Linked DNA regions of Mus musculus: regions 1 and 3 are each reported to be linked to region 2. The links are microRNA targets in miRTarBase. Many come from high-throughput screens and were not tested one by one. Region 2 holds a microRNA gene; each other region holds the end of a gene's coding sequence.
The links. Region 2 holds the annotated microRNA mmu-miR-3071-5p (ACUCAUUUGAGACGAUGAUGGA, at 1,400-1,421, shown strand). A microRNA usually pairs through its seed, bases 2 to 8, with sites in the 3' UTR of a target mRNA and lowers its output. Matches are read on the target gene's strand: a 7mer-m8 pairs with bases 2 to 8, a 7mer-A1 pairs with bases 2 to 7 and ends in A, and an 8mer does both.

Region 1 (4,067 bases), not on the chromosome of region 2:
TCAAAAGAGACAGAGAAGTCTACTGTGGGCTTGAGTCTAGTGTACACAATAGAAGCTCCTTGTACCTCATGACTCTATTTTGAAAGGTTAACTCAGTGTCATGGTCTGTTTCTTCTCTCTGCAGACACATTTGCCAGCAAAGTAGCAGCTACCCAGGACCAGTATGCAGATGCGTCTATAGGCAATGTCACTGGAAGCAATGCTGTGAATGTCTTCCTGGGAATCGGCGTGGCCTGGTCCATTGCTGCCATCTACCATGCGGCCAACGGGGAACAGTTCAAAGTGTCCCCCGGCACGCTAGCTTTCTCTGTCACTCTCTTCACTATTTTTGCTTTCATCAACGTGGGGGTGCTGCTGTATCGGCGGAGGCCAGAAATAGGAGGTGAGCTGGGAGGGCCCCGGACTGCCAAGCTCCTCACATCTTCCCTGTTTGTGCTCCTGTGGCTCTTGTACATTTTCTTCTCCTCCCTGGAAGCCTACTGCCACATAAAGGGCTTCTAAAGGAACAATCAGATATAGTAAATTTATATATATATATGTATACATATATATATACATAAAAATTATGTATAATGAACAGAGGAAACTGACATTTGTCATGTTCACTTAAACTGCTGATGGAATCCAGCTTCAAGAACATCCGTACTAGGCCGGAAGTCAGAAACCATCATCTCCCATTCCCGGGCATCATCAAGTTGAACAAGGCATGGAGGCAGGGTCATCTTGCAGCTCGTCCTAGAAGAGCTATACTCTCTCCGAGTTCTTAAATGGTTAAGGCTTCTATTTGTTTTCTTGTTTTATTTTGTTTTGTTTTGTTTTGTTTTGTTTCCAGTGGTGGGGGGAGAGGGAGGGATGTGGGTGGCTGATGTTTGGCTTTCGGTTTTGGTTTTGGTTTTGCTTTGTTTTGTTTGGAGGGCCAAGATCTTCTCCTTATAGAAAGTAGTGATCCACCCAAAGGGGAGTGGATTTTGGATGAATATTAGAATCATTAAGATTCGCTCCTCACCTCCTCCGAACACTTTAAACATTACTTGGATTAAGGAAGGAGCTGGGCGTGGAAGAAGAAAAAAACCACATCTTCACTACATTACCAAATTGTATGCTTATCTCCGGAATGTGAACAGTGGTGAACTGCCTCCAGAGAGAAGCATGGGAGCTGAAAAGGAGCCAGGAAAAGCAATGGTTCTAGACATAGTTTAAGGATACGGTGTCTGGCACTCTTGTTCAACAGGTACAGGGATAATGTGCCTAGATTCCCAGGAACTCATAGAACCCTTCATCCCTTATTTCTAGCTCTGAACTGTGATTAGCAAGACCCTTACTCCTTCCAGCCCAGCCTGTTCCCCGGGTTTTCCATCCCAGACCTCCTCCTGCCCTCCACCCAGCCCCTGCAAGGAGGAAAATTAACCCCACCCCCAAAGCCCTACCATTTCAGTCATCACGTGTGTCCAGGTCCCATGTTGCTCTTGCCTGGGATTTTCCATCCGTTTTATTTTCAGTGGCATCCATGGCTTGCACAATCCTGTTCCAGTCATGACTGAACATTTGCCCCTCCTTCATGTGCCTGTTAGGGACTGTTGTCGTGATCCCCATTACACAGTGCATGGACGAAAAACAAATAAAACAAAGCGTATCTGTATATAGTAGAGTATAGCAAATACTGTCCTCCCATTCAGCGATGTTGATTGGACATTGAAGACATAAGTGAGTTTTCTTTTCACCTGAGTTGTTCCTTTTGAGTTGTGATTGAGTTTGGATATTAATAGGGATAAAAGAAGAAAATGGCTTATTGTTCATGAATCTTGCACGCTCATTACTAAGAAGCAATAATTGTCGTGTGAAAAGATATTAAAGTTGAGAGGATAGCAGGCAAACTACAAAGATGTCTATGAAATAATAGCCATGTAGAGCACATCAGAGGTCTCTAAGAATCACCCATTAATTCAGGTAGACTGAGAAGAAAGGCTGGGAGACCAGTGGATACTTTGGATGTGCCTGGATTTTTACAGCCACCATTTCCACACCACCCCTCCCCCAACATATTTATTGCACATCTGCTCTGTCTGGCACAGATGATAGATAGTGCTAGTTGATTTTATTAATGGAGAAGGCTGTTTTGAGCCCTGTTTTGTTCACCTTTCAGTTCAGATAGCAACTCCTGAGTGGAAGTCTGAGTGACCAGTGGGACTTTAGAGGTCCACTGGGTATGACTAAGAGGACGTTACTCAAAGAGACTGGGAGTAACCATTGCAAGGAATGACTCTTTCCATTCAAAATACCAAAGAGCAGAGATAAACCCAACATTCCAAAAGCTGTGATTCTACTGATGGGAAATGGGACGGCTTGGCCCATCTCTCAGACACTTCTCTGAGCCTTTCTGGCCCTCTGCGTTGACTCCAGATACTTAAGAGATAAATGTAGCTGAGAACTCCTTTCCCTCCTTCCACTCAGTGATCATAACCATTCATTGTTTAACCAACATGTAGTGACTGAGTGAATAGAAACTTGTTGCCCGTTCAGTAGGCCAGGTAATACTACAACCTGGGAGCAGAACAGTGACCAAGACAGCCCAAATTCCTGCTCCCAAGGGGAATGTAGTGAGTGGGATTCCTCCTCAGAGAGTGAGAGTTGACACTGAGACAGTTTTGATCTTGGAAGAGAAAAGGAATTATGACTTTTAACCTAGGCACATTAAAATTGCACAACAAAGGCAGTTGACCAAATGCTCATGTTTTGTTTTTCCTAAAAGAATGTAATTTTTAGCTCTGGAAAAGTACTCTTTATAGCCTTGGCCAACTCGCAGGTATTTTTATCTTCCTAATTTAGGCCAAGCAGGACACTATGGTGGTGACCAATATCACTGAGAAGAGCTAATTAGCCGGTGTTTAGTCTCTGTGGCAATGGTACCTTTCCATCACAACACTCCACAGGCCACCAACAGTGGTGACAGTGGGGACTCCTCAGGGGAGCCCTCTAAGCCATCCTGTTTTGATTTTTTTTTTAATCTTAATTTTAGATTTTAAAAGTGGAAAGCTAGCCTAGACATACCCAGTAAATCTAGTCAAAGGATATATGTGGTTAAAAACCTTAGAAAGATTTTGCACTGGTTTTTGTTTAGTTCTGTTTTTTTGTTTTGTTTTTAAGCCATCTTCGGAATGTCAATAATTCTGTAGTGAATTTCACAGAGAACTTCCCAAGAACGTCTTGCTGTTGGTCAGTTTCAAGTTCAAGCTTTTTGGTGTGTTTGCCTTTTCAGTCTTCATGCTGTAGGGAAAATCTGATCTGGATCTTCAGGGTTCTTAATTATTATGTGTAAATGATTTCATTTGATTTGTTTGATTATTTTTATTTTGTGTGTATTGTGCACGGCTTTAGGGGGACAGGCACACTCGGTGCTGTTCCTGACAATTGGTACACATTATTGACACAGAAAACAAAAACAAAAATCAATAAAGTTTCTAACTGTTTGTGATTTCATCACCAGTGGCACAGCATGTTCTGTACTGTGGAATGTCCCCTCTCCTCACTGTCACCTACTTCATTTTCAGTTGTTTGTTTTCATGCTCTGAAGAAATAAAGACCAAAAAGGTATCCTTGTGCAATCTATATCCTTATCCATGGGAAAGGAGACAGCCACAATCCAAACCCATACACATGTCAGCCCTTAGCTCATGCTGTGCTTAAATGGCCCACGAGCAGCACGTGGAGTCGGAATGTTTGTCTGTTGTGTGATGCTGTGATAAGCATTGGGTGTACCTTCTTTTCACCATTTTTCCACCTTTTAATTTAACTCTATCTTCTTGCTTCCTGAACCCAAGCACATGAACTCACAGGCTATTACTTGTTAAACAACTTTCATCACACAGCGCATCATAGTAAATCATGCCACCCATTGCACTGGTTTTTTTTTCGAAGTATAGTTACTTCCCAAGGGACAAACAAATTGTTCACTTAGTATCATATATTGTATTTCTTCTTATTCCTAGAACAACTTCTTTATGTTGATAACTTCTGATTCTATGAATTGTATAAGTCACTGATTTTCATATCTCATGCAATCAAAAGTA
Region 2 (4,067 bases):
AAGTAACAGAAGGTGCAGAATTCATAAAGACAATAGCTATATGGCTGAGCTATTGAATAACTAGCTTAATTTGTTTTGCAAACCAATACATCCCTTTAAATTCAATTTCCGTGCACTAAACCCTCCATGGCTAGATTTTCAAAAATTACGGAACAATCAGATTTCAAAGGTCCCATGCCCCCCCTTTCACCCAACTTCATACCTCTGTTAGATATACCCCTGTACCAGACGAAATCAACAGTGACAGAAAAGGGGGGGGGGGCACTTTTGAGAACGAAAACCCTGCTCCTGCCGAAGCAGAGGAGAAACTTGGAAAGATAGCATTTGTGAGACGTGCAGAAATGTTTGCATGAGCAGAATTGAGGCCAGATGTTTAAAGCTGCAGGAGCCCTGCAGACCAGGCAATCCTGGGAGAACAGTTTTTTTGAAAGCCCGGGAAAGGGTGTTTAGAAAGCTCCGACTCAGCTCAGAGCTGGAGAAAACGTGGCTTTGGACAGAGATCAAACCGAACAAGAGAAATGATACTATCCCTCCCCCACCCCCCTCTTATCCTGCATATGCACAAAGTGTGACCTAGGATGAAGCCATGAAAGTGCATGTTTTCAGCACATAGTAGGCATTTTATAAACATTTATGGGGAGCAAAATTAAAACCAAAAGCCATGGCTCTCTCTCACTTATTTCGGCTTGGAGCCTAGAGGAGGAAATAAGAGCTATTTTTGGCTGTTGACCCAACTGGCAGGATAGTGGCCAAGTGCCCAATTTCTCCTCTTTCCCCAGTTTGTGAAATAGCAGGCATCTCCCTGCAGATTCCCGCCTCCAACCAAGCTCACTGGGCTGGCTCTAGACCACCAAGCCTGCCAGCAGCCGCTTTGAGTGGCATTGAGATGTGACCTTTATGACTTTTGGGTGACTACAAATGGGAAGGGAACCTGGCCAGGGCAAAGCGGGCCAGAAGTGTGCCCTGCCAGGTGCTAGCTCGCCACAGAGGACGCTCCAGGCCAGTTGCTCCACAAAATTTATGGGCTGTGAATTTCTCATTCCACTAGAGGAAGTAGGCAGGTGGGGTAGTCAGACTCCGCCTGGAAGGCAGGTCAGGGGGTGACGGTCTTTCCCCTGGAGGTGCCCCAAGTAACCAGAAAAGGAGGCTGAACTGAATGCAGGAGGAATTTCTCCATTTTCTCTCTGATTCTAGTAACTTGGCATCTGCTTTGTCCTTGAGATAGAATCTGACCCTGCCATCTTGAGAACCTAAATTGCTACATTTTCTCCTGTCTTTTATCCCTCTGTCCCTAGGTTTTGGTCTCCACAGTTGCGGTCTCTGACCACACACATCACAATCTTACCAGTCTTCAGAGCACACTCCTTTCCAACCGACGACATGATAGAACCCTCTGAAGACTCATTTGAGACGATGATGGAGCTTAAGAATCCATCATCAAAACAAATGGAGTCCTCCGAGGGCTCATCCAACACCGTTGAAGAGACACCAGGCAGCAGTGGAGCCCAGGCGGGGGCCCAGGCAGGGGCCCAGGCGGAGGCCCAGGCGGAGACCCAGGTGGAGGCCCAGGCGGAGGCTCAGGCTGAAGCCCAGGTTGAGGCCCAGGTTGAGGCCCAGGCGGGCTCAGATAGTGGCCCAGCCCAGGAAGAAAAGGAGCCACCCAGTGGCCCCCTCAAGGAAATGCAAGAGCTGCCCACTAATCTACTCCAAGAAGTGGAGGAGCCATCCAGTGGCCCCCACCAGGAAATGCAAGAGCTGCCCACTGATCTACTCCAAGAAGTGGAGGAGCCATCCAGTGGCCCCCACCAGGAAATGCAAGAGCTACCCACTGATCTACTCCGGGAAGTGGAGGAGCCATCCAGTGGCCCCTACCAGGAAATGCAAGAGCTACCCACTGATCTACTCCGGGAAGTGGAGGAGCCATCCAGTGGCCCCTACCAGGAAATGCAAGAGCTACCCACTGATCTACTCCGGGAAGTGGAGGAGCCATCCAGTGGCCCCTACCAGGAAATGCAAGAGCTACCCACTGATCTACTCCGGGAAGTGGAGGAGCCATCCAGTGGCCCCTACCAGGAAATGCAAGAGCTACCCACTGATCTACTCCGGGAAGTGGAGGAGCCATCCAGCGACCCCTGTGAGGCATCATCTAACGATCTACCCCAAGACATGGAGGAATCAAGTGATGATGGTTCGAACCAGGAGTCGAGTGATGGTTCAAACCACGAATTAAGTAATGGTTCAAACCATGAGTCGAGCTTTGGTTCAAACCCAGAGTCGAGCGATGTTTCCAACCTGGAGTCAAGCGGTGGTTCAAACCAGGAGTCCAGCGATGGTTCACAAAAGGAGTCAAGCTATGATTCAAACCCGGAGTTAAGTGATAATTCAAACCAGGAGTTAAGCGATAATTCGAACCAGGAGTCAAGCGACAGTTCAAACCAGTCAAGTGATATTTCAAACCAGGAAGGGTCGGAACCACTCAGTGAGGCATCCGATTATAGCATGGATGAAACAATCAACTCATCCGAGACCCAGTCAGACCAAGATGATACTGACCTGGGAGATGACGAGGAAGAGGAGGAAGAGGAAGGTGGTGAAGAGGAAGGTCAGCCCAAGAACTCTCCAGAAGAAGTCGTGGCCACCATGGGGAACGTCATCTCGCTGTTCCTCCGGATGCAAGACCTAAAAGAACAACAGAGAGTGGCAGAAAGGCTCATGATGCAGGCTATCAACGAAGGTCGCCTGCCCTCCCTCAGGCCCTTCTCTGGAGATCGCAGAGACTACCATGAGTTTGTCGTGCTCTGCCAGATGACAATGCAGAACTACCCAAGTATGCTATACAATGATGAGCTGCGGGTGAAATTCGTCATCCGCCACCTGACTGACCTAGCCTTGGAATGGGCCAACGACCTCGTAGAGCAGAACAGCCCAGTGATAAACAACTTCTCAGCCTTCCTGGAGGCCATGTCAGAAAAGTTTGAGTATCGGCAGACCCTGCGTGTGGCGGAAGACGCCATGTTCAACATCAGGCAGGGGAACCGCTGTGCGGCCGATTACATCAATGAGTTCCGGGGTCTGATACCCACCTTAGGCTGGCCAGATGAAGTCCTGCAGGCCCACCTGTGCCAGGGGCTCAACGAAGAGATCAGGCACTATCTGTTCCGGATCCCTCAGCCGAATTCCCTAGACAACCTGATTGTACTTGTCCTGCAACTTGAAGAAAAGCTGGCAGAGAGAAGAGCATTACTCAGGCTGCCACCTGAGTCGCGCCCAAGAAGCGTAGCCTGGATGGATGCTCCCGCCCCAGAGAAGTGGAGGGTAAGCAGCTGGCTGCCCAATGAGTTCCACCCAGACATTGATCGCGATCACCTCTTCTTACTGCTCTTGGTGAGAGTGGACCCCTACCACAGTGTCGCAGTGCGGGCCCTGGTGGACTCAGGAGCAGAAGGGAACTACATGGATGAGAGGTTTGCCCAGGAACACTATGTGGAACTCTATGAGAAGCCTTATCCACAGATAATCCAAGGTGTGGATGGCATCCCAATTGGCAATGAACCCGTCTGGCTGTGCACCGAGCCCCTGGTATGTGTCCACCAGAAGCATTATGAGTACATCGAATTTGACATCTTACCTTCGCCCAACTTCTCCATCGTCTTAGGCATGAAGTGGCTCCGAACCCATGCCCCTGAAGTCGACTGGATGAGAGGCCGGTGTACCTTCCACTCTCCCTACTGTCTGCGGAATTGCTTCACCCCACCTCCACCATGCATCGCACTAGAGACATACAGCATAAGCCTACTGCCCGGATTGCCACACACATACTCAGACCTGGCCGACGTGTTTAACCCGAGGGAGGCAGATGATGAGACTTCCGACCAGCCAAGCTCAGACGGATCCGATGATCTTTCTGAATCAGAGCCCTCTGAGCTTCAGCAGGCTGGAGACAGTGATCAAAGCGGCGTCTTTTACGAGTCTGGGGCCCGAGAGACTTTGGAACCTGTGAGCGCCAGGATGCAAGAGAAAGCCAGGCAGCAAGAGAAAGCCAGGGAGCAAGAGGAATACTGGATACT
Region 3 (4,067 bases), not on the chromosome of region 2:
ATAGGCTGATACTGGATTTGCCTACCTTTTAGACCTGTTGTTTTTGGATTTAAAACTCTGTGTGTGTGTGTGTGTAGATATGTACATGTGATTGTGCAAGTGCCCACATAGGCCAGAGGTGTTGAATTCCGCAGAACTGGAATTATCAGGCAGTTGTGAGCTGCCCAATAGTGGATGCTGAGAACCAACCTTGGTCCTCTGCAAGAGCAGTGCATGCTCTTTAACTATGGAGCCAACTCTCCAGCCTTGACTTGTTATGTTTGGGTAACGTTGTATTCTATTTCCTCAGTTGAAATGGGTTAGGACAGTTGTTATTGCGCCTTCATGAGGAACTTTTAGAGACAAGGCATTGCATGTCATCCAGTACAATGTGTTTTGCAGCTAAGTGGTTAGTAACAGCAGTTGTTTCTATAACATTTGAGGTTTTTGTTGTTCTAAAGATATGGCTTTACTAGGTAGCCCTGGCTTTCCTTGAACTCGGAGATCGGCCTGGCCTGCCTCCCCAGTGCTGGGGTTAAAGGCTGCATCACCATGCCTGACGAGGTTTATAAAGTACAGTTTATTTTGTTGTCAAGCTTTGCCCCCATTGTCTACTCACTATCTGTTCTTTGTCCTTTAGGATGGCTGGATCGGTGTTCGGTCAGTAATGCTTAAGAAAACACTAACAGCTACTGATTTCTACAATGGATATTTGCATGCGTGGTACCAGAAAAATTCCCACGCTCACCCAAGCCAGTGCAGATTTCAGACTCTCAGACTTCCAACAAAGATGCAGCAGAAAACAAAGTTGTTGCTATGCAACAGTGCATTAAGTAGCTAGAAAGACAACGGACAAGGACCTATTACACACTTGTAATTTATTAAAAGCTTGATTTACAAGCAAGAAGATGACAGCGTGGGAGAAAGAGAAGTGGTTGTCAGGAGGCGGAAGTCTTTCGCTCTCCATTGTGTGTAGCAGTCAAGGGCGGACTTTTCTACTTGAATCACACAAGAAGTTTAAATAAAATTTGTATTTATAATGTTCAGCTTAAAGGAGCTTGTATCCTTTGAAGAGTAAGACAACTAAATGGTGTGCATATATTCTAAAAGGTTGTTTTAAATGGTGCATCTATGGACTTCGGGCCTAGCTCAGTAGGTAGAGTGCCTGCTTAGCCATGGTGAAGTTCTGAGTTCGATCCCCAGCACCTCATAATCCAGATAGTGGTGCACACCTGTAGTCCCAGCACTCAGCAGAAGCAGGAACGTCAGAAGTTGAAGGGCATCCTCAGCTGTCCGCGAGTTCTGTAGGACATTCCAATTTGGATTTTTATTATTGCTGGAAAAAAGTTTGCTTTACCCCAGACTTGAAACTGGACTCCGGCTTGGGGTGGGGCTCAGTTGGTAGAATACTTGCCTAGTGTGTACACAGTGCTGTAGTCCCAGTACTTGGAAGATGAAGGCGGGAGGATCAGTTCAAGGCATCACTACCAAGCATGTTTAAGGCCTGCCCAGGGCTGGAGAGAGGGCTCAGCGGTTAAGAACACTGACTGCTCTTCCAGAGGTCCTGAGTTCAATTCCCAGCAACCACATGGTGGCTCACAACCATCTGGAATGAGATCTGATGCCTTCTTCTGGTGTGTCTGAAGACAGCTACAGTGTACTCACATATAATAATAAATCTTTAAAAAACAAAAAAAGGCCTGCCCAGGGTATATGAAACCTTGTTTAAGAACAAAAGCAAATGAAAAATGAACTCTGTTGCTAGCTTCTAGTTAAGTGACTTGAGACAACCTACTTAAATCTTTAAAACTCTGGTTTCTTAGTTTAATTATACGGGTAATAACTGCCTTGCAGAATGCTATATTACACAGGAAATGCCCAACATGGACACTTAATAATTGGTAGTGTTTGCTGTCACTTCTCAAGTTTACTAAACCACAGAGTGGCCGTATCTTAGTCAAGTACTCTGGTTATGTCTGAAGGTATCTCTGGATGAGATTAACAACGTTTAGTGGTCAACCCAGTAAAGCTGATTGCTTTTCTAATGTGAGTTAAAAACAAAAGGCGAGGCTGATAGCTTGGGGGTACAGTGCCTGCAAAAAAGCATAAGAACGTGAGTTTGGATCCCTGCTTCCACATAGAAAACAGACATGGCGACTTCTGGAACCCCAGTACTGGGGCAGCAGAGACTGATGGATCCCAGTGACCCACTGGCCAGCCAGTGTAGTTCAGTGGGCTCCAGGTTCATCAAGAGACCCTGCCTGAGAAAGAGAGGAAGGCAGGAGATGAAGAGAAAGCAAAGAAGGAACAGTAGATGTCAGACTTTGTTAGTCGCTTCTGCTCTAATGAGACCTAACCCTGTTGACTTTGAACTGGAGTCAGAAACTAGTGACTGTGCAGTTGGCTGGCAGACTGCAGATCTGGAGACTCGATGGCCTTCATGGCTGTGTGGCCCACATTATAAATCTGCCATTTCTCTGCCTTTACCTCACCTCCGTGCTGCTGTGTTCCGCCTTTGGGCCTTCTACAATCATTTTTCTCCTGGGGGGCAGCCACGCTGTGGAGTACACGGTTACACCAACATGAGGAAAAAGGTTTTAGAGTGAGACAAGATCTCAGAATTTCATCTCAGAGATGGGGAAATGAAGGCTGGGCAGTGGTAGCACACACCTTTGATCCCAGCACACAGACGGAGAGGCAGGTGGACCTTTGAGTTCGAGGCCAGCCTGGTCTACAAAGTGAGTTCCAGGACAGCCAGGGCTACACAGAGAAACCCTGTCTCGAAAAACAAAACAAAAAGCATACGTGAAGGAACAAGTTCAGGCATTGCTGCATTGCTACATTGCGAAGAATCCGAACCTCAGGATTTATCAGATTTCTGTGTGTGTGGAGAGGGGCAGTCAGTTTTCTCTTTCTACCTTGTAAGTCACGGTCGTCAGTGTCTATCCACCGAGCTATCTTGCCAGCCCAATTTTTTTTTTAAATAACTTTTTATTTGGTTTGGGAGACAGTATTTCTAATACCACCTAGCCTCCCTGAAACCGAAAGCTCTGAGTTCACTGAGAGAACCTTTCTCAAATGAATAAAGCGGAAGGGGACAGGGGAAGGTATCTGTGGACAAAACACCACAACCAAAAGCAATTTGGGAAGAAAGGGTTCAGTTTCACTTGCTCTTCCATATCACGCTTCACCATCAGAGACATTCACGTCAGGGACCTGGAGGCAGAGCTGACGCAGAGGTCATGGAGGTGGGCTCCTTACTGGTTTGCCCCTCATGACTTGCTCTGCCTGCTTTTTTTTATACAACCCAAGGACAACCGTTTACAGAGGTACTGCCCACAATCGCCTGGGCCGCCCTCCATCAATCACTAAGAAAATGCCCTACAGGCTTGCCTACAAACCTGATCTTAGGGACTGACTTCTCAGCAGAAATTCCTTCCACTCCTGTGACTCTATTCCAGTTTATATAAAGCTAACACAGTACCTGACATCTTCATATCTTCATTTGGTCTCTCCTCTCTCTCTCTCTCTCTCTCTCTCTCTCTCTCTCTCTCTCTCTCTCTCACACACACACACACACACACACACACCAGAACAAAACCAAGGTGAATAGCTCCTGAGGTTTGACCTTTGATCCACATGCATGCATGTATGCACACACAAACATGAACACATACCTACATGTATGCACCACGAAAAACAAAGAATAATAGCCCTTGAAGGGGGCGGCAGCATGTAACTCCATCGCAGACTGCCTATTTTTCATATGTGAGATCTAATTTTATTCCCAGGACTTAAAAAAAAAAGTACACAAATAAGTTAAAAATACTATTTCAGGGTAAGAGGTCTAGTTCAGTGGGAGAACACTGCCTACCGCCACCCTGGATTTGGTCCCTAAGCACGGAAAACAAAATTTAAAACCCTACTCTTCCATATCACAGTTCACCATCAAAGGTGGTCGGCTCAGTTACCTGGAGGCAGGGCTGATGCCATGGAGACATTTTGTTGGGGAGCGACTTTAACTTTTTAAAACTAGCTTATAAAACTCCAGGCTCCCTTATGTTCTCTTCTCTCCAATTTTAGCCCTG

Region 1: miRTarBase lists Slc8a1 as a target of mmu-miR-3071-5p. The part of its 3' UTR that is shown has no 7-base or 8-base seed match.
Region 3: the mRNA of Mtfmt is a reported target of mmu-miR-3071-5p. Seed matches in the 3' UTR shown: 7mer-A1 at 1,590-1,596.

The regions. Positions count from the first base shown.
Region 1 is chr17:81,385,125-81,389,191 of GRCm38, reverse strand. Slc8a1 (solute carrier family 8 (sodium/calcium exchanger), member 1) reads left to right here. Exons shown (of 11, transcript NM_011406.3): 11 at 125-4,067. The coding sequence ends at 501. Among named protein-coding and RNA genes, the nearest start is that of Gm33944, 100 kb to the right of the region's middle.
Region 2 is chr12:109,592,717-109,596,783 of GRCm38, reverse strand. Mir3071 (microRNA 3071) reads left to right here and starts at 1,387; the gene lies at 1,387-1,466. It overlaps Rtl1 (retrotransposon Gaglike 1), which reads left to right. Exons shown (of 2, transcript NM_184109.2): 2 at 1,296-4,067. The coding sequence starts at 1,381. It overlaps 6430411K18Rik (RIKEN cDNA 6430411K18 gen), which reads right to left. Exons shown (of 1, transcript NR_002848.3): 1 at 3,933-4,067. Mir127 (microRNA 127) reads right to left here and starts at 3,938; the gene lies at 3,869-3,938. It also overlaps Mir434, Mir432 and Mir136.
Region 3 is chr9:65,451,386-65,455,452 of GRCm38, forward strand. It overlaps Mtfmt (mitochondrial methionyl-tRNA formyltransferase), which reads left to right. Exons shown (of 9, transcript NM_027134.3): 9 at 620-1,669. The coding sequence ends at 820. It also overlaps a transcript of Spg21 not described here. Among named protein-coding and RNA genes, the nearest start is that of Spg21, 7.5 kb to the right of the region's middle.